Macaca fascicularis: one gene and its partners. The protein of the gene in region 5 binds, or shares a complex with, the protein of the main gene of each other region. Links are inferred from orthologs where the notes say so. Each region holds a gene or a part of one and is shown on either strand. Other genes may lie near its edges. The genes, in order: TIMM10B, TIMM10, TIMM29, TIMM22 and AGK.

Evidence for each region.
Region 1: AGK (region 5) and TIMM10B share a complex: the UniProt entries of both Homo sapiens proteins name them as parts of the TIM22 complex. The link is inferred for Macaca fascicularis from reciprocal best matches to the Homo sapiens genes AGK and TIMM10B.
Region 2: the proteins of AGK (region 5) and TIMM10 are in contact, whole or in part, in a cryo-EM structure (PDB 7CGP), measured with the Homo sapiens proteins. The link is inferred for Macaca fascicularis from reciprocal best matches to the Homo sapiens genes AGK and TIMM10. Residues at the interface, in NP_060708.1 of Homo sapiens: Phe49, Gly50, Asn51, Gln52, Leu53, Ile54, Pro55, Pro56, Val60, Ser91, Gly92, Met93, Asp94, Val95; in NP_036588.1 of Homo sapiens: Glu40, Glu42, Leu43, Ser44, Lys45, Gly46, Ser48, Arg53.
Region 3: the proteins of AGK (region 5) and TIMM29 are in contact, whole or in part, in a cryo-EM structure (PDB 7CGP), measured with the Homo sapiens proteins. The link is inferred for Macaca fascicularis from reciprocal best matches to the Homo sapiens genes AGK and TIMM29. Residues at the interface, in NP_060708.1 of Homo sapiens: His33, Asn36, Arg39, Arg40, Cys43, Gln44, Gln47, Asn51, Lys82, Pro86, His89, Leu90; in NP_612367.1 of Homo sapiens: Tyr145, Gln146, Cys149, Arg150, Tyr151, Leu152, Gln153, Arg155.
Region 4: AGK (region 5) and TIMM22 share a complex: the UniProt entries of both Homo sapiens proteins name them as parts of the TIM22 complex. The link is inferred for Macaca fascicularis from reciprocal best matches to the Homo sapiens genes AGK and TIMM22.

The regions. Positions count from the first base shown.
Region 1 is NC_088388.1:59,598,639-59,601,921, forward strand, and holds TIMM10B (mitochondrial import inner membrane translocase subunit Tim10 B), read right to left. Parts: upstream 2,061-3,283; 5' UTR 2,040-2,060; coding exon 2,004-2,039; exon of another isoform or gene 1,897-2,003; coding exon of another isoform or gene 1,894-1,896; intron 1,803-1,893; coding exon 1,707-1,802; coding exon of another isoform or gene 1,695-1,706; intron 1,516-1,694; coding exon 1,339-1,515; 3' UTR 505-1,338; downstream 1-504. Other genes in the region: ARFIP2 (arfaptin-2), read left to right, coding at 3,141-3,239. UniProt on the Homo sapiens protein: Component of the TIM22 complex, a complex that mediates the import and insertion of multi-pass transmembrane proteins into the mitochondrial inner membrane.
Region 2 is NC_088388.1:16,082,130-16,086,398, reverse strand, and holds TIMM10 (mitochondrial import inner membrane translocase subunit Tim10), read right to left. Parts: upstream 2,801-4,269; 5' UTR 2,692-2,800; intron 2,328-2,691; 5' UTR 2,223-2,327; coding exon 2,152-2,222; intron 637-2,151; coding exon 435-636; 3' UTR 198-434; downstream 1-197.
Region 3 is NC_088393.1:11,494,714-11,497,776, reverse strand, and holds TIMM29 (mitochondrial import inner membrane translocase subunit Tim29), read right to left. Parts: upstream 1,799-3,063; 5' UTR 1,771-1,798; coding exon 1,677-1,770; intron 1,601-1,676; coding exon 912-1,600; 3' UTR 505-911; downstream 1-504. Other genes in the region: protein YIPF2, read left to right, coding at 2,182-2,212, 2,629-2,789, 2,872-2,955. UniProt on the Homo sapiens protein: Component of the TIM22 complex, a complex that mediates the import and insertion of multi-pass transmembrane proteins into the mitochondrial inner membrane.
Region 4 is NC_088390.1:1,103,391-1,107,449, reverse strand, and holds the start of TIMM22 (mitochondrial import inner membrane translocase subunit Tim22), read right to left. Parts: upstream 2,804-4,059; 5' UTR 2,779-2,803; coding exon 2,541-2,778; intron 1-2,540. UniProt on the Homo sapiens protein: Essential core component of the TIM22 complex, a complex that mediates the import and insertion of multi-pass transmembrane proteins into the mitochondrial inner membrane. In the TIM22 complex, it constitutes the voltage-activated and signal-gated channel.
Region 5 is NC_088377.1:183,172,949-183,177,127, reverse strand, and holds the start of AGK (acylglycerol kinase, mitochondrial), read right to left. Parts: upstream 2,806-4,179; 5' UTR 2,647-2,805; intron 1-2,646. UniProt on the Homo sapiens protein: Lipid kinase that can phosphorylate both monoacylglycerol and diacylglycerol to form lysophosphatidic acid (LPA) and phosphatidic acid (PA), respectively. Does not phosphorylate sphingosine. Phosphorylates ceramide.

The DNA of each region.
Region 1 (3,283 bases), on a different chromosome or scaffold from region 5:
CTCGAGGTCAGGAGATCGAGACCGTCCTGGCTAACACGGTGAAACCCCCGTCTCTACTAAAAAATACAAAAAACTAGCTGGGCGAGGTGGCGGGTGCCTGTAGTCCCAGCTACTCGGGAGGCTGAGGCAGGAGAATGGCGGGAACCCGGGAGGCGGAGCTTGCAGTGAGCTGAGATCCGGCCACTGCACTCCAGCCTGGGCGACAGAGTGAGACTCCGTCTCAAAAAAAAAAAAAAAAAAAAAAAAAAAAAGAAATCACGGATTGTACTCAATGAGACCAATGTGGGGCAGATGATGGAAAGCTGGAATTAGGAGATTCTAGACAAGCAGTGAAACATTAAGGTAGCATTAAGGAAGTCCCGAAGATTTCGTTTTATCCTTTTTATCATAACCATTGCCATCTACTTCCCCCTTCAGTTTTTCTTCCTCAGATTTCGCTGTATTGCAGAATACGGTCCCCAACTTTCTCCCTTCCCGATTGCCCGTAAGACAAGCACACAGACCTTGGTTCAAAGGTTTTACTTCTCATCCTGAGAAGACTGTACAAACTAAGAAAGTAACAACCTGGGGAAATGGCTGAAGTTCCAAGACTCCAGACTTCTTACAGGTTTCATCTCTCTTCTGTGGCCACTAACTTCTCAAGGAGGCAGTGCCCAAAAGCCCTGTGGTTTTTTGATCCGTTGTACTTCGACAGCTTCTCCTTTCCCTAGATCCAGCAGAATTCTAGACATATAAGACATAGTTCACAAAACAACAGTTATGAACCAACAAATACTTGGTTCACGGTTATAAGCCATTGAAGTCAGTCAGACTTAAGGACAACTAGACAGAGCTCCCATTTTCTGTCATCTGGGCAGGAACCAATCTCCTTTTGTATCAAATGGCCTTCTGGTACATTCTGGAATCTTGCTTCCTCATCTATTTAGTGAGGCTAATACCGCTTACTTGTAGTTTTGTTGTAAACTAAGATAAAGCCTGACATATTACTCATTTTAAAATTGTACACACAGACCCTGCTTTAACCAGATGCCTGCAAATACTCAGGTTTTCCTTCTACATATAGAAGACAACTTATCAGCTGCCAGGGCTGAAGCCAGCAGATATGGCTAAATGACAGAACAAAGGATTATGCCAATAAACTATGCAAAGCTTCCTTGCCCAGAATATAAATCAAACAGAGTAAAAAGCGAGTATATTGGCTCCAGGAAAAGGAGCAAGGACAGCCAGTTTTCAGGCGACCTCGAATTCTCTCCGTTTAGGATTCACCAACCCTAAGGTCCACTGGGTCCTTCAATCTGAGGGTCCATCCAGGGCCTTCCCTCCTGGGGTTGGAGATGGCTAGCTGCCTGATGGAGAGACCCCAGGCTGCTCAGCAGCAACGCCTGGCACAGCCGAGACAGCCTCGTAGTCTGCGATGCGGCGCTGTACCAGGGCAGGCATGAGCTGCACGTAAGCGGCCATGAGGCGGTGGTTGGAATGGATCAGCTTCCCAGCACAGCTGTGCAGACAGGCCTCCTAGAAGGAAGATAGGGTTTAAGCGGAGGACAAAGGTGTCCTGTCGGGCCCGCCTCCGTCCTTCCCCATGCACAGCCTAGGGGTGAGGGTCTGGGAAGGCCAGGACCAGAGGTAGGGGAAGTGGGGTGAGGAGGGAAGCAGTCTACCGCTAAACTCTGTTTGCAGCGTAACCTCCTTACACAGTTCCCCACCTCCTCAGCGTCCAGAGCTCGGTGGTGCAAGCTGGGCACACAACGCTGGAAGCAGAGTTCTGTCATCCGATTGTAGACCAACAGGAAGTCACGCAGCTGGGAGAAAACCGGGACCACGAACTCAGCGATATGTGCCCCACACTTCTACTCAAGGTCGCGCCGCCCAAAGTTTCCCAGGCCCGCGCACCATAACCCGAAGTTTCCAGCCCTCAGATCCCTGGCTCTATGGGGTTTCCGCGATGTGTGCAGGAATGCGAGCTGAACGTCTGGCCCCGAAACGACTTAGTTCTCACTCACGTTTCTCAGTTGCTGTTGCTGCTGCTGCTGCTCCATCACGCCACCGGCGCATGCTCTACGCCACTTCCTTTTCAGCTTCTCGGTGCCGCCCCGGAAGTAACCTCTCGCTGCTCTCGAGAACCAAGCTAGAGTATCGCCCTGCCCCGGCTTCGACGTCACTTCCGCCCTTATAATCTGCGACGTGGCCGGCTTCTTCTGCCCGGAGAGGACGTCACTTCCGCCGAGTCCCTGACCTGCTGCTAGGATCGCGACGGGAACTGGAGCCCGAGGTCCCCGCGCGGCCCGGGCCTGGCGCCCTGAGGGGAAGAGCGGCCCGGCCCGAGGTGAGAGGGACATGCTTGGGCGACGGGAAGTTGAACGCACAAACCTGTCCAGAGGGCAAGATGCCCCGAGCCCTGGGGAAGAATGAGGACACACCTGATGTCCAGGTGTATGGGGGTGGGGGCGGGGACTCACATACCTGGGAGACTGACTGTGGAAGGGATCACCGATATCCTGGTAAAGACAGGCTTTTGCCAGAGACTGGGAACATACACCAACTGATCTAACTAAGGCCTGGTGGGGAGGGCCCAAGGAAGAGGAGTTGTATGAGACGGAGGAGGGGAGACCCCCTGAAGGAAGGGGGAAGAAACACTAAAGGAGTGAGAAAGGCCAAGCAATGGAGAACAAACCTGAATGGGGGGTGAAGACCTGAGCCCTGGAAAGGGTCCATCTCCTGCTCAGCATAAACACGCCTGCATGGAGATAAGTTCTAAGAGAGCTACTTTCCCTCTTCACTGTTGTATTTTCATTGTCACAAATAGTACCTGACACAGAGTAGGCACTCACTAAATGTCTGCTGAATGACTGAATGAGTGTAGAATAATCACCAGAGGCCTGGTGAGGTTGGGGGCTTGTGAGAAGACACCGTGCTTTGGTGTGCCTGTGTACAAATGTGCATTTTGGAGGGGAGAAATACATATACCTGAAGAAAGGAATGATGACCAAACGCTGGGACACTCAAACCCTGGGACAGCCTTTAAAGAAATGACAGAGGAGGCTTCCTTCTTCTAGAGTGCTGGCCAGTGCCCAGAACTTCTGTGTTGGGCTTTGCAGGGTGCTGGGGTGGAGAGTTTTACTCCAATACCTTTCCTAGCCATGACGGACGGGATCCTAGGGAAGGCAGCCACAATGGAGATCCCTATCCACGGGAACGGTGAAGCCAGGCAGCTTCCTGAAGATGATGGGCTGGAGCAGGTGCTTCTGTTTGATTCTTCTAATTGTTTCAATTTAGGAATCCA
Region 2 (4,269 bases), on a different chromosome or scaffold from region 5:
TTGCCATGTTGGCCAGGTGGTCTTGAACTCCTGACCTCAAGTGATCCACCCACTTCAGCCTCCCAAAGTGCTGGGATTACAGGCGTGAGCCACTGTGCCTGGCCTGTCCTACTCTTAAACACTACATTAGTCTCCCTCTGCTGGTAGGGGCTGTGTCTGTTTACTCTCAAATGCCACGCACACTGCTTTGCACATAGTAGGTGTCAACAAACTTGTTTTAATATATATATACATACATACATACATACACACAGTCACATTCCAGTGTGACAAATACTCCTTCACCAGGGGACAGCGCTACCACTCCAGGATCTTGAAGACTCGCTACAGAGAGCTTAGGCCTGGCAGTCCTCACAGATGACACCCAACAGGGAGCACTTTTATTAAAGTGGGAAGGGGTGGGGTGTACCCCAGGGTGTATGCTGACACGGACCTCACGCGGGCCCAGAGCTCTGCTGCACCCTCTTCATCAGCTCTTCATCCTGCATAGACAACTCTGTCAACTTTTTGCCCATTCGCTCATGGATGTCCAAGTACTTAGAGACACATCGGTCCAGGCACACAGACTCGCCCTTGGAGAGCTCTGCTTCCTTGTAGTGAGGAGGTACACACTTCCGGTGGCAGGCACTGGTCATTCTGGAGGGAGGGAGGGGCAAGGTCATGTCAGCAGCATCCTGTGACATCCCAGGAACCCTCGACCATTCCAGCCCTGCTATATTGATGTCACCTTCCCCAAGAAAGCAGTGTAAATCCTCAGTTTACACCTCAACCACTGGAAGGTCCTTGCAAGTAGGAAACTTGCCTGAGCCCATGTATATGACTAATTAAGTAGAAACAATTTGTTAAGGACTGGCTATGTGCCAGGCATCATGCTAAGTGCTTTACCTGCATTCTGTTACGCAATGCTTACAATTACCCCAAGAGATACTTATCCCCATTTTACAGACGAGAAAATTAAGGCAAACAGAGGCTCAGTAATTTTTTTTTTTTTTTTTTTTTTTGAGACGGAGTCTCGCTCTGTCGCCCAGACTGGAGTGCAGTGGCGCGATCTCGGCTCACTGCAAGCTCCGCCTCCCGGGTTCACGCCATTCTCCTGCCTCAGCCTCCCAAGTAGCTGGGACTACAGGCGCCCGCCACCACGCCCAGCTAATTTCTTTTTGTATTTTTAGTAGAGACGGGGTTTCACCGTGTTAGCCAGGATGGTCTCGATCTCCTGACCTCGTGATCCACCCGCCTCGGCCTCCCAAAGTGCTGGGATTACAGGCTTGAGCCACCGCGCCCGGCCGAGGCTCAGTAATTTTCTAAGAATCACATAGAGCTGAGATATGAACCCAGGTCATCTGACCTCACAGTCTACACTTAACAATCTTTCTAATTTATAGTCGTCAGGATAAACCAATCAAGAGAGCTTAAGCCAATAAAAATAGCAGACATTTCACTGTTACTAAGTGTTGGGCTTGAGGCTAAGGACTTTCATATATTTTTAGATTTAATATTTATGATGCCCTATGAGGTAGGTATCATTATGTCTTTTTCATAATGAGGAAACCAATTGTCAAACAGTGCAAGTAACATGTCCAAGTATACTGCTGGTGATTGGTGGAGCCAGGATTTGTTCCCAAATGTGCCAAATGGTTATGAGCACTAGTTGCAGAACCAGACTGAGGTGCTAGTTCTGGCATTGTTACCCACCAGCTGCGGACCCTAAGGAAGTTACTTAACCTCTAGCAGCATCAATTTCCTCATTTTAAGATGGGACTAATAAAATTAACCCACTGGATTATTTTGAAGATTAACAAGAGCCTGACACAGAATAAAGGGTTTTAAAATGTTAACTACTAAATGGGCTGGCTATGTGCTATTTATCAAGAGGCAAATACTCAGCTTTTCTTGGAACCTAACCAGAGCCTGGATTGGAGTTTCTCTTCCTGCTTGGCTCCTGCATTGCCAGTTCCATCCCCATCTAAATGCCCAACTCATTCTAGTGACTGCGTCTACATTAGGATCAACCTTGGAGGTGCGTATGGGGAGGGTAAGCATGGGCCTCAGGCTCCCCTACATTCAGGAAGGAATTTGTTGTAAGTCATTCACCTTCGATATGGGTGACCAAGACTTATTTTCCAAGACAGGGTAGAACATAGTTCTCTTTACCTGTTGTACATATCGGCCATCATCTCCACCTCCAGCTCCGCAGCCAGCTGTTGGGCCCTGAGAGGATCCATCTCAGCCTAGCACCGTGGAAGGTATCTCCTTCTGGCCTCCTAATCCTGGGAGCAGACATCACCATCAGCACCCACCGCCGCCGTTCACTCTCCTACCCCTTGGGGCTAGAGGATACAGAGGACTCACAGGGCGCCAGACCACCACGGGCCACTAACCTCAGTAAGATTAACCACCCCATTTCACGGATGTGGAAACTGAGGCCTCGCCCAAGGTCGCACAGGACGTCCATGGCGAGCCTGGAAATCGAGCCCCGGATCTCTGATGCCCCAGTCCCTGGAGGTCACCTCTATTCAGAAGATCGAGGACCGAGGCAGAACGCTCTAACCCATAAGCCTGAACCTCCAGGGCCCTGGGAATGAGATCGTACGCTGAACACAGGCGACCGGGACGCAGCCTAAAGGCTGCGCCTCTGAAATGGCGACGCCATAATCAGAGCCACATTGAATTCAGAGGTCATGGGTCACTCACCACTGCCTGGGACGGATCGCAATGCTCACGGAGACCCCAACTTCTGACAAAAACTATAACGTTACCCGCCTCTCCAGAAGGCTCCAGCGGAAGCACGTGGGTTACTTCCGGGAGGGAAGTCCCGCCTCTCCTTTGATTCAAACTCGCTTCCGGAACTAAATACCAACGAGACGGCGCCGGGAACTCGGCGATCCTAGAGAGGGAGCGGCCGGCGCCGGGCGAAGAGGAAGGCGACTTGCCAGTGCTAGAGGGGACGCCAAAGTACCATAGAGGCTTGGGCGGGGTGCAGAGCGTCTGCAGCCCGCTTACAATTCAAGTCCCTTGGGATGTCACAGAGCCGCTTCAGTTTATTGGTTCTGTAGGAAGAGGCGTGGTGACAGATATCAGTGAATCTCATCCCAGTTCCGGACAGCCGACTCCTGAGCGTAAATCAGGCGTGGAGAAGGAAGAACGCCCCCAAACAGCGATTCTGTTTTTGTTTCGCGTTAAAATCCCTGGAACGTTTTTAAACGTCCCAGTGCCCAGGACTCACCTCATTTCAATTAAATCAGAATCTCTGGGAGTAGGACCCAGGCATCAATACAATTTAAAATTCCCCAGGTGATTCGTATGTACAGCCAAATTTGAGAAGCAGTGCTCCATGGGACGTTGTGCGATTACTACTGTGTGTAGGTCACACTAAGCCCCTTCTGGTGTTGCAACGATAAGCGAGATAGGCTTCCTGCTCGTAGAAAGACAAGACGTGTAAAATATGTTTTCTTCAACAGTCAGAGGTCCTGAGCCACAAAGAGATTAATAAAAGCAATTTCGGCTGCCACCGAGGCTAATCATGGGTGAGGGAGAAGGAGGGTACTGGTGAACTTTTCAACTTTCAAGACTTAATGTGTTCTTCAAACTGCACCATTCACTCATTCCCCACTAAAAAGAAGGAAACAACACTCAGTCCCTTGATTTGTCACACAATTTCCTAGTAAAATAAATTTACAAGATGTAAATTGATGACGCAAGGGCACATTGCTCATTGGAAAAGGTGGGCTAGACATTTTATATGTGTGGTCATCATATGCTTCCCTAATTGTCCAAGACCATCCTGATTTTAAACAATCGACCTTTCTGCTTTGAAGACTCATCTTTGTCAAACCTTGTGCCCTGATTTTTAAAGATTGAGGTATAATATTCATAAAGTGCATAAAATACACGAATCTCAAGCTTAATTAAATATATATGTGTATATATACATTTGTATAACCACCACCCAGATCAAGATATAAAATACTTCCTGCACCCCAAAAAGTTATCTTGTGTTTCTTCCCCATCAATACTCCCTCTTGAAGTTAACCACTATTCTGACCTCTATCACCATCAATTCGTTTTCCTTGTTCTTGAACTTCATGTAAATGGAATTACACATTATTTTCTATTTTGTGCCTGACGTCTTTAGCTCAATGTACCTGTAAGGTTTCCTCCATATTGTTGTGTGCATCTGTTATTCCTTCTGTTTTATTGCTGTCTAGTGTTTGATTGTATGAGCATGCCACAATTCATTTATCCATTCTCCTGTTGATGGATGTTTGGATT
Region 3 (3,063 bases), on a different chromosome or scaffold from region 5:
CGACAGAGCGAGACAGCCTGTAATCCCAGCACTTTGGGAGGCCGAGGCGGGCGGATCACAAGGTCAGGAGATCGAGACCACAGTGAAACCCCGTCTCTACTAAAAATACAAAAAAATTAGCCGGGCGCGGTGGCGGGCGCCTGTAGTCCTAGCTACTCAGGAGGCTGAGGCAGGAGAATGGCGTGAACCCAGGAGGCGGAGCTTGCAGTGAGCCGAGATGGCGCCACTGCACTCCAGCCTGGGCAACAGCGTGAGACTCCGTCTCAAAAAAAAAAAAAAAAAAAAAAAAAAAAAAAAAAAACAAAACAAAACAAAACAAAACAAAAAACAAAAACAAAAAAAGGAAAACAAAACAAAACGAAAGAGAACAGATCACAGAATAAAAACATTTCAGCTCAAATTTTATTTAGTTAATTATTATTCTTTTTTTGTAGCGTCGGAGTCTTGCTATGTTACTCGGGCTGGCCTCAAGCGATCCTGTTGCCTCAATTTGGAAAATGCTGGGATTACAGACGTGCCTCACCACGCCAGGCCACAACCCAAACTTTAAAAAGAGAATCTAAGTGGTCTTAGAAGAGTTTGCAAGTCACCTGACCACTGTGGTACCTCCTTAAGGAGGGCCTCTGAGGCCCAATGAAAAAGGCTTATATAAAAGGCTCATGACCAGCTCTGCCAGTGATGAACATGTGTCAAGTCGTTCTGCTGTCCCAACTCCTGGACCAAGGTGGCTCGGAATTAGCTTCAGCTTATAAAGAACAAAGACGGGGGGCAGAAAGGCTCCCCAAACTTGCGCAAATCCAGTGAGAAAACACTTTGCACATCATCTGTCTCAGTTGTTCTGCAGGTGAGGCACACTCACAGCTGCACTACCCCAGGCAAGCAGTTTGCCAGGACTCGGGGGCCTCCGGGTTTCATCTCGGGGCCTCCGCCTGCACCAGCGAGTGGGCCTGGCTCAGGGCGAGCCTGTCCTTTTTTTCCTTCTGCAAGACCTGCTCCTCCCACAGCGCCTGGTCCACCTGATCGTCGGTGAGCACGACAGGCTTGTACTTCTCATCGAAGAGCCGCTCGTTGGTCTCGGAATGCAGCTGCTGGGGCCCGACCACCCGCAAATGCGCCGGCAGGTGCAGGAATTCGTCGTCGTTGATGTCGCAGTCGCGCATCCGGGCCCCCAGCACCCACCAGCGACCCACGAAGCCCACGTCCAGGACCCGGCCGGGGAAGTCGGTCCAGCGGGGCTGCAGGTAGCGGCAGCGCGCCTGGTAGAGGCTGGCCTGGGCGTCGAAGGGCGCCTCGTACACCAGGGAGCAGAGCCCTAGGTTGACGTGGCGCAGGCGGCCACGGCCCCGCAGCCAGAGCAGCCGCTGCACGAAGGCTTCGGACTCGCGGTTGCGGGTGGCCGGCGCCAGCAGCAGGAGGGTCCCCGACGCCTCCAGCAGCGCCTCCTCGAAAGCACTCTCGCTAGGCGCCAGCGTGAAGCAGGCCGCCGCGCCGCCCAGCAGCCCCACATACACGGCCGCGCGCCCCGGCCGGGCACTAGCCTCCGCCGCCGCGTCCCTGCAGGCCTCGGCGTAGTCCCGGAGCAGCGCGCGGGCCCAGGACCCTGAGGGGAGAGGAGCGCGGTAAGAGTGATCTGGCAGCGGCGGCCACTCACCCTGCCGCCTTCCGCCGCTACTCACCCAGCCGCGCCCACACTCCCGGCTTCGCCGCTGCAGCGTCGCCCGCCTCTGCGCGGCGCCGGGACCAAAATCTCCTCAGAGCCGCGGCGGCCATCCTTTTCCGTCTTGGGGGTCCTTGCTCCGAAAAGAAACTCTTGATACCCGAAGTTAAAAGCCCGGGAGGCGCTTCTGCGCAAGCGCCAACTTTACCGGAAGTGGCTTCCCAGCGGGAAAGGATAGAAAGAGGACCGGCGCCGGATGTTGCTGTCCGGTCCGAGTCGGGTAGATTCTGACGGGTAGGCCAGCTGCGCAGTCGCAGAGAGCCCCAGCCACGCCGGCCCAGGTGGCCTCCGGTGAGGAGGGCGGAGCGCACCTGTGGCGACGGGGCGACGAGTTCAAGCTTCCGTGGGTGCAGCTGGCCGCCAGGTAGGGCTGGGGGCCGAGGGACCGGCGTGGGGGCGTGGGGGGAGCGTGCCTGACCGGTCTCTGTCCTCAGCGAGGGATGCGGAGACGCCCCTGAACGACCATGGCATCGGCTGACGAGCTGACCTTCCACGGTGAGTGCGGCCCCGACGAGGCCGGATCTCCTACTCCCGCCCCTTGCCAGAACCTACCCCCCATGCGGCTTCCAACTTCTCTACCCCTAGGCGGCTGTGAACCCTGACCCAGGAGGGAGACCCATCTCTGACCCGAACCCCGCCCCCGCCCTGAACTCAGACCTCAAACCCGAGCCTCATGTCTCCAGACCCTGACCCCATCCCAGGGCCAACCCTAAGTTGCAGTTCCACTTTAGGAGGAAGGGAACAGACGCCCTCCGGATGCCTCCAAACTGAGGAAGTTGGGCCCCCCACCTTGGGGGAGATCAGTGGCTTAGCAGAGCCTCCGCCCCCAGATGAGCATTGACTTGGCTGGAGCCCAGTCGAATTCTTTCCACCCCTCAAGCGTGCGTGTGTCCCATGTCCCTGCTCCACAGAATTCGAGGAGGCCACTAATCTTCTGGCTGAGACCCCAGATGCAGCCACAACCAGCAGAAGTGATCAGCTGACCCCACAAGGGCACGTGGCTGTGGCCGTGGGCTCAGGTAGCAGCTATGGAGCCGAGGATGAGGTGGAGGAGGAGAGTGACAAGGCCGCGGTGAGTCCCTGTGTCCTGCCTCTGTGCAGCTCCCAGCTGATCCACGCTGTCGGGGCAGGCGCTGAATGCCCGCAATGTGCAGCTCCTGCAGGAGAAGCAGCAGCAGCAGCCCGGATTCTGGACCTTCAGCTACTATCAGAGCTTCTTTGACGTGGACACCTCACAGGTCAGGCCTGGGGAGGCAGGTGAGGTGGGGCTCAGAGTTATGCTCAGGGTTCAGCCACACTTTCCCTGGGCAGGGTGCTGGTGATGGCGAGTGCGGGTGAAGGAACTG
Region 4 (4,059 bases), on a different chromosome or scaffold from region 5:
CTTCTTCCCTTCCCTAACATTTCTCAAGATTCCATCTTTAACCCTCTTATTCTCTCTACACTCTCATATGTAAAGTAGTCACCCTCAAGTTCAGCTATCCACTTTGCAAATCACTCTCTTGGCCACTGTGACATTCACAGTAATGCTTTACTGAGCACCACATGCCAGATATGCCACAGCCTCATTCATTCTTCACAATAATCCAGTGAGACAGATGCTATTAGCCTCTCCTTTCTATAGATAAACTGAGGCTCAGAGAGGTTAAGCAACTTCTCCCAAGGCCACACAGCTACCTAATGGCAAATCCCACACTGTTTTCCACATCTGACCTTCCTGAGCCTGCTGGACCTGTCCATGTGGATGCCCTCTCATGGCTTCATGGTCAATATGAGTTCAATACAATCATGGGCACCTCCCCTCCAGACTTTCCTGCCTACAGCTCCTTCCTTCCAGTCATGCCATCTCCAAACACTAGGAGCACCTCTGACGGCTTCTTTACTTCCTCCTATAACCAGTCAGTCATGAAACATGGCAAAATCTTTCATCCTACTTTTGCAAGTCAAGTCCATCCCTGCCTACGTCCACAATTACCACCCCAGTCCGGGGCCTTCATCACTTCAACTGTGGAGCACTATGAAGACCCCATTCATCCTTTCAACAACTCTATCAGTGATTTATTAGGGTCAGGCGGAGTGAGGAGCAAACACCCAGTCCATGCCCTCATGAAGCTTCAGTCTCGCAAACTTCCTCTCTGGCCTTCTCATCTACAGATTTTTCTTTCCTTCACCAGACTCTATCGTAATTCACCATGTTCATTACCTCTTGTTACTCTTTGTAAAAAACATCAACTACTGCCCTAATGCCTGTAAGCGAAACGCCCAAATCTCCCCCCGACTCAACCCCAAACTTGAAATAACATTTCTCCTTTGCCTAAGTGTATTTTCTTCCTTTTTTTTTGAGATGGAGTCTCTGTTGCCAGGCTGGAGTGCAATGGCGTGATCTTGGCTCACTGCAACCTCCACCTCCTGGTTTCAAGCCATTCTTCTGCCTCAGCCTCCCGAGTAGCTGGGATTACAGGCACACACCACCATGCCCAGCTAATTTTTGTATTTTTAGTAGAGACGGGGTTTCACCATGTTGGCTAGGATGGTCTTGACCTCTTGACCTCGTGATCCGCCTGCCTTGGCCTCCCAAAGTGTTGGGATTACAGGCATGAGCCATGTGCCCAGTCCTTTTTTTTTTTTTTTTTTTTTTTTTTTTTTTTTGAGACAGGATCTTGCTCTGTCACCCAGGCTGGAGTGCGGTAACTCAATCACAGCTCACTGCAGCCTCAACCATCTGGGCTCAAGAGATCCTCCTGCCTCAGGCTCCCGAGTAGCTGGGCTCTCAGGTGCATACCAGCTAATTTTTGTATTTTTCGTAGAGATGGGGTTTCGCTATATTGGCCAGGCTGGTCTTGAACTCCTGGGATCAAGCGATCCACCTGCCTCAGCCTCCCAAAGAGCTGGGATTATACAGGAATGAGCCACCGCACCCACTCTGCCTACCTGTATTTTCTCAATCCTTCAAGACGCAGCTCCAGTCTCACCTATGGTCTTACTCAACAACAAAAAAAGACCTTTATTCCTACTTCACTTGTTTTCATTGACATTCTCACTACATTCATTTCTTAAATGTCTTTCATTCTCAGTGAGACTTAAACTCATCTGCAAATGTAGCCAACCTATTTACCCTGCACACAGAAGGAATACCGTACATTCTCAAATCTCCAAAAAGCTTAAGGGAAACGTAGAAGGACAAGTGCAGACTTCGTGTCTCCTTGCTCGCTGCTGTCTAGTCACAGTGGTCTTTCAGTTTTCCAAACCTCAAGCAACCGCTGCCCTAGCGCCGTCTGCATGTGCATTTCCATATGTCTGCATCATTCCTCTGCAGAGTTCCTGCTCGACATTCTTCTCCACATAGTATAATACGGCCCCGTGAAGACCAGGCTCTTGTCTCTCTCCTGGCACGTGATAGTTGCTTAGGAACGATTTGTTGAAGGATTTAAGAGAATGAGCGAATTCAAGGGAATGAACGGATGAATGAAGTCACCCATGTAATCACTTTTTTCTTTTCGAGATGGAGTCTCGCTCTGTCGCCCACGCTGGAGTGCAGTGGCGCGATCTCGGCTCACTGCAACCTCCGCCTCCTGGGCTCAAGCGATTCTCCTGCCTCAGCCTCCGAATAGCTGGGAATACAGGCGCCCACCACCATGCCCGGCTAATTTTTTATATTTCTAGTAGAAACAGGGTTTCACCGTGTGAGCCAGGATGTCATGTAATAACTTTTAGGCCCCAACCACAGCAATTTTCTGATGCAATTTTCATCAAGAAAGCTGAGCTGAGGGGGCAGGAGAGGTGACGTTCACGGAACGAGGTGGGGGTGTGGTCAAGGTCAAGGCCCGCAGTCCCTCGCCTCCCAGGCGCGTGGTCTTCTCTGCAGAGATCCCCACTGCCGTCCAGGCCCTCAGCCTCCCAAGCATCCCACTCGCCCGGCCTCACCTCCCACGCAGGCCAGCGCAGCCTTGAAGGCACAGCTTTCCATCACCTTCTCGATCATCTTCTGCTCCTCACTCTTGGCTGGACTTGGGATCCCGCCCAGGCTCCCAGGCTCCAGGAGTCGGGGCTGACGCTTGTCACCCACCAGGTACTGCAGGAGAAGGCTGTACTGCAGCGGAGCTTCGGCGGAACCCGCTGCCTCAGGGGCCGAAGCCCCGGCATTGGAGGCGGCCGCCGCCATGACAGTCGCTGCCCAAGCAACCCTCGCGTCCTTCCCCCCGCAGCAGATTCGACAAGCGTCACGCTGCGAGCCCTGACACTAGCCACCGTCTGTAACGGCAGATTCGCAGCAAGAGGAAGCCGCGGCCGCAAGAGACGTCGTGCGCGCATCAGCGACAGCGCTATCGTGTTTCCAAAAAGAAAGCCTCTTGTGAAAATGGAATTGGGCTTGAACAGCTTTCCCCATGTCACAGACAAACGAGATTCAGATTCACCAGAAAGCGCCCACACGGTCGGGGCTGCAGCGCGGTGAGTACAGAGATTTGTAGTTCCAATCCGACATCCAACTACATTTCCCAGGAAGCGTTGCGCGTGCTCTCGCGTCTCGGCCCCGCGCGGGGCTCCTACGCGCTGCTGAGGGGAGCGAGGAGCGGCCGCGCGCTCCGGGGCTGCCGTGCTCCGGATCGCCGGGAGGGGGCGCGCGAGCATTCTCGCTGCCCTTTCCGCCTCCTGCTGTCATCGGGCGAGGAGGCGTTAAATCCTGTGGTCCCGGAAGGTGCGGTGAGGGCTGGACGCTTTGTAGACACGCGTGAACGTGTGCTGGAAATGCTTGGACCGGGCGCGGGGGCTCACGCCTGTCTTCCAGCACTTTGGGAGCCGAGAGCGGTGGATCATGAGGTCAGGAGTTCGAGACCAGCCTGACCAACATGGTGAAACCCCATCTCTACTAAAAATACAAAAAAAAAAAAAAAAAAAATTAGCTGGGCATGGTGGTGCACGCCTGTATTCCCAGCTACTTGAGAGGCTGAGGCAGGAGACCCCATCTCTACTAAAAATACAAAAATTAGCCAGATGGTGGCAGGCGCCTGTAATCTCAGTTACTTGGGAGGCTGAGACAGGAGAATCACTTAAACCCGGGAGGTGGAGGTTGCAGTGAGCCAAGATCGCGCCGTCCTGCTCCAGCCTGGGCGACAAGAGCAAGACTCGGTCTAAAAAAAAAAAAAAAAAAAAAAAATCCTAACTTATAGCATTTGCTGACTTGAGTGGTGTCAATATCCCCATAGTGGCTGATTTCAAACTACCAAGCGAGGTCATCAGTCAGAATTGGGAAGACTCACAGCAGTATGTGGTTAGACAATGTTTCTATCACACAGATACAATCTATGGAAATAACCTCAACAGCATAGATAGGAGTACGGTGTAGTAAAACTTTTAGGAGGTGGTGAGTTTTGAGCACACATTACCTGTTTTTAGTGTAATTTGATTATAAATGTATAAAATGTAATTTTTAATAACAACTGTG
Region 5 (4,179 bases):
CTACTGAGCCCAACTGAGATTTAGCACATTGATTTTTGCCTTTATTTTTTTCTAGGTGCTGCGGTTTGTGATTGAGTGGGGAGGTTGGGGAGGACAGCCAAGGCTTTTACAGATGCCAATACTCTAGCAAGAAATAAGGAAGAGCGGCTGCTAAAAGAGCTGAGATTTTCCATTCTACCCTCCTGTGCCTCATTTTTCTTTTCCTCTTTCTACTTTCTTGGCTGAGTCTGCCTGTCAGTAAGATGATCAACAGCTGTGGGAAGCACAGAGCAGGACTGGGAGGAAGCCTCCAAGCAGGAGTCAGGACGTTTGTCCTGAGTAGGGCTGATGGTCTAAACTTGACCTTGGCCACCCAGCTCCTTGGCCCAGGCCCACCTTCCTTCATTCACTGTTTCACTCTTGTATCCACTGAATACCTATGCAGTGTCTTCTATGGAGTATCCACTTAAGTCAAGCACTAGGCATCCCATTATGGCAAAAATAGACATGGTCTTGACCTCAAGGGGCTCACACTCTGGGAAGATAGGCAACAATGAATAAATGGCAAGAGATCAATATGTGATTACAGATCACTGATAAGTGCCACAAAGGAAAACAAAAGGACTCTATGAAGGAGAATTACCAGGTAGAGGCTGCCTACTTTAGATGGTGGTCAAGGATGGTTTCTCTGAGAAGAGACATTTAAGCTAGAACCTGAAGGATGACATAAAGCAGAGGTGAGACCTGAATCACTACCCACAGGGATGGTGTGTCAAGGAAAACAAGAGACAATGAGGAAATGAGCTCAGGGGGACTCCTCAAATCCAATAGAACAGATTTACAGCGATGTTCCATATTTTTGGTTATGCTTATTCATTAAAATCCACCTGCAAGTTTGCATCTATCAAAGGAAATACAGTATCTGAATATACAATGCCCTTGACATATGCACATTAAGCTACATAGTGGTACATGTCTTCCACTTTTTAGTAGAACTTTCTAAATTAAAAGAATTTATGAATGATGTTATAAATGAGGATTTAAAATACTTTCTATAAGGCCAGGCATGGTGACTCATGCCTATAATCCCAGCACTTTGGGAGGCCAAGGCTGGTGGATCACCCGAGGTCAGGAGTTTGAGACCAGCCTGGCCAATACGGTGAAACCCCGTCTCTACTAAAAATACAAAAAATTAGCCAGGTGTGGTGGTGTGTGCCTGTAGTCCAAGCTACTCAGGAGGCTGAGACATGAGAATTGCTTGAAACCAGGAGGCAGAGGTTGCAGTGAGCTGAGATCACGCGACTGCACTTCAGCCTGGGCCACAGAGTAAGACCCTGTCTCCAAAAAATAAAAATAAAAAAAAACTTTAGATAAAAAGTCAAGAATCCAAGATGCTTGTGGAATTAACTGTCTTCCTCATTTCCATTGGAGAAAGCCTCATATTTTTCATAAAAAATAGGAAACTGAGTGTGTTCCAAGATCTTCCTTATACAGTGGTGACATTCTCATGTTGTAGCATTTGAGCTATCACCACCAAAGGTCATTAAATCCATGCCATGTATGCTTGTGACTATGGTCTCAAATATTCTTTCCTTTTTTTTTTTCCCTCCTAGTCTCTATCTCTACATCCATCATTCAATAAATACTTAGTAAATACCTAATGTGTGCCAGACAACATTCTTGCTGGGAACACAGCAGTAAACAAAACAGAACAAAACAGACTAAGTTCCTCTTCTCATGAAGCAGGAGCACAGATCATGGAGACCACAATAAGAACTTGGGATTTCATTTTTGGTAAGATGGCAATCATTTGGAGAGTTTGATTAATGTAATCTGATTTCCATTTTAAAATAAAAATGTTGTGACTGCAAATAGATAGTAGGGAAGCAAGGCTGGAAGCAGGGAGGGCAATTAGGAGACCTTTGCACCACCATAGGGAAGATAAGTTTGTCACTTGGAACAAAGTGGCACAGCCTGATGGTAGAGGTAGCTGATTTCTGGACATATTTTGAAGGTAAGGCATACAGAATTTGCTAATGGACTTAACGTGGAGCATGAGAAAAAGAGATGAGTTAAGACAAGCTTTATGTTTTCTGGCCCAAGAAATTGGAAAAATAGAATAAATGTTTATTGAGATGGGAGGGGCTTTGGGAGGAAGTTTTGGACTTGCTAGATTTGGAAGGCCTGTATTAAATTAAATAAGCAGGAGGCCATTTGCCTGAGGCTGTTTCTCTACTTTGACTCACTATGTAGCAAACTGCAAGCTAACTCAGTAAGTAAACAAACTGAAAACCTAATTTAGGAGTATATATTTTGTAACAGATAGCCCAATCTTAGCCAATACAAGCAGCTAAGCTTTAATCATGGGCAGCCAACTGATCAGACCATGTCCAAATAATGCAAACACCTAGCTGTAACCAATCAAGCTATTTCTGTACTTCACTTCCATTTTCTGTCTATAAGTACTCACTACCCACTTTGCAGGGCAGTCTCCAAACCTCTTCTAGTTCTGAGTGCTGCCCAACTCATGAATCATTCTTTGCTCAAATAAACTCTGTTAAATTTAATTTGTCAAAAGTTTTTCTGTTAACACTGATTAGGCATTCACATGGAGATGTTGACGAGATGGCAAACCATATGTGTGCCTGGAACTTAACTAACACCTACCTCACTCATAATTTTGTCCAATTCCTTCTTGGCCAGCTCAAAGTCTTTTCTATCTTGTCATGACACTTCATGATGCCTTTGAATCTGGGCACTCCTATCCTCACTCCACACTTCTGAATAGGTACAATTTCCTCTGGGTTCTCATGCTCCTCTTTTCTCCTAAATCAAAAGATGAACAGGTAGTTAGATGGTACCCCACGTTTCAAAAATGACCATTTAAATGCCGCTCTCACCTTACTTGCATCATCAACTTTTTTCCAGTATTCTACGCTAAAGCAAACATTCTTGCTTAAGTTGAATTGCAGTTAAATAAACTAACTCTCAGGGCTTTGTTCTATTTCAAGCTCACCAAGCAAGCCTCTGACAACAAGGTTTTTTATCTACCTTGGTATGGGAAATGGGTATTTGGAACAGTGGAAACAAGTTATTTTTCCCCTGTAAAAATATACTGATGCTAACTTATAAACAATCTCTAAAGCTCAGTGTCTTAACATAATAACATTTTATTTCTTGTCCACATGATAATCCAGAGTGAATCAGGCATCTCTCCTGGTGGCTCTCTTCCATGTGGTGACTCATGGATCCAGGATTCTTCTATTGTGTTTCTCCTCCATTGCAAAATCCTTTGCTTCCAGCATTTGAGACATTTTTTAGCTATATCTACAACTGGTATATATCACTTCTGCCCACATTCACTTGGGTAGAACTCAATCACATTGCTTCACCTAACTGCAAGTGAAGCTGAGGAATATAGTCTCCCTATGTGCCCAGGCAGAAGAAACAGGATTGGTGAGCATCTTGCCCATCTCTACCACTAACAGTTTATCCCCCCAAATAAATCAATACACTGACACTCTAGTTTTGTCTTTGTTCTCTTGCGAATGTTATAGTGTGACTCTACAATGTGTGATTGCTCCTGGTGAATCAAAAGGATAAAGCTGCTGATTCTGCAATTTGAGAACCCAACCATGCTGACCTCAAAGTGTAGTCAATCCATGAAGTTCCTCCCACCACAGTTCATCCTGAACACTGTCCACCTGAGTCATCAGGAAAGGTTTAAGTACATTACCTGTGCTCTGTTTAATGTCGGCGAAGTGTGTCCTAAATTTAGTTATTTCGAGGATCTCCTTCTAGTTCCAGAAGTAAGCCAGGTTCTACCGCTGTCAAGTGTTACTCATGGCTAGCTGAGGAAAAGGGGTTCAAAAACATTGAGAAGAAAAGGAGGGAAAAGGCTGGGTTAATGGGGACAGGGGTAAGGGTGAGACCCCAGCTAAACAGTGAAGATAAAAACAGACATGTAAATGAGAGGAAAGAAGAGAAGGTAATGGTGAAAGTCAGTACAGGAAGGAAAGGGGTTGTAGGGGACAAACACTGAGAGCGCAAGAACGTGGATAAGGTGAAACTAAGGTGAGCGAGGAGGCTGAAGAGAGGTCAGCTGCAGCGGGAAAGAGGGAAGGGCCCTTTAAGAAACACATCAAGCCGCAGGTGTGGGCCACGAGGCTGGCGCAGCGCTGTCGCTCCACGCGTCGCAGA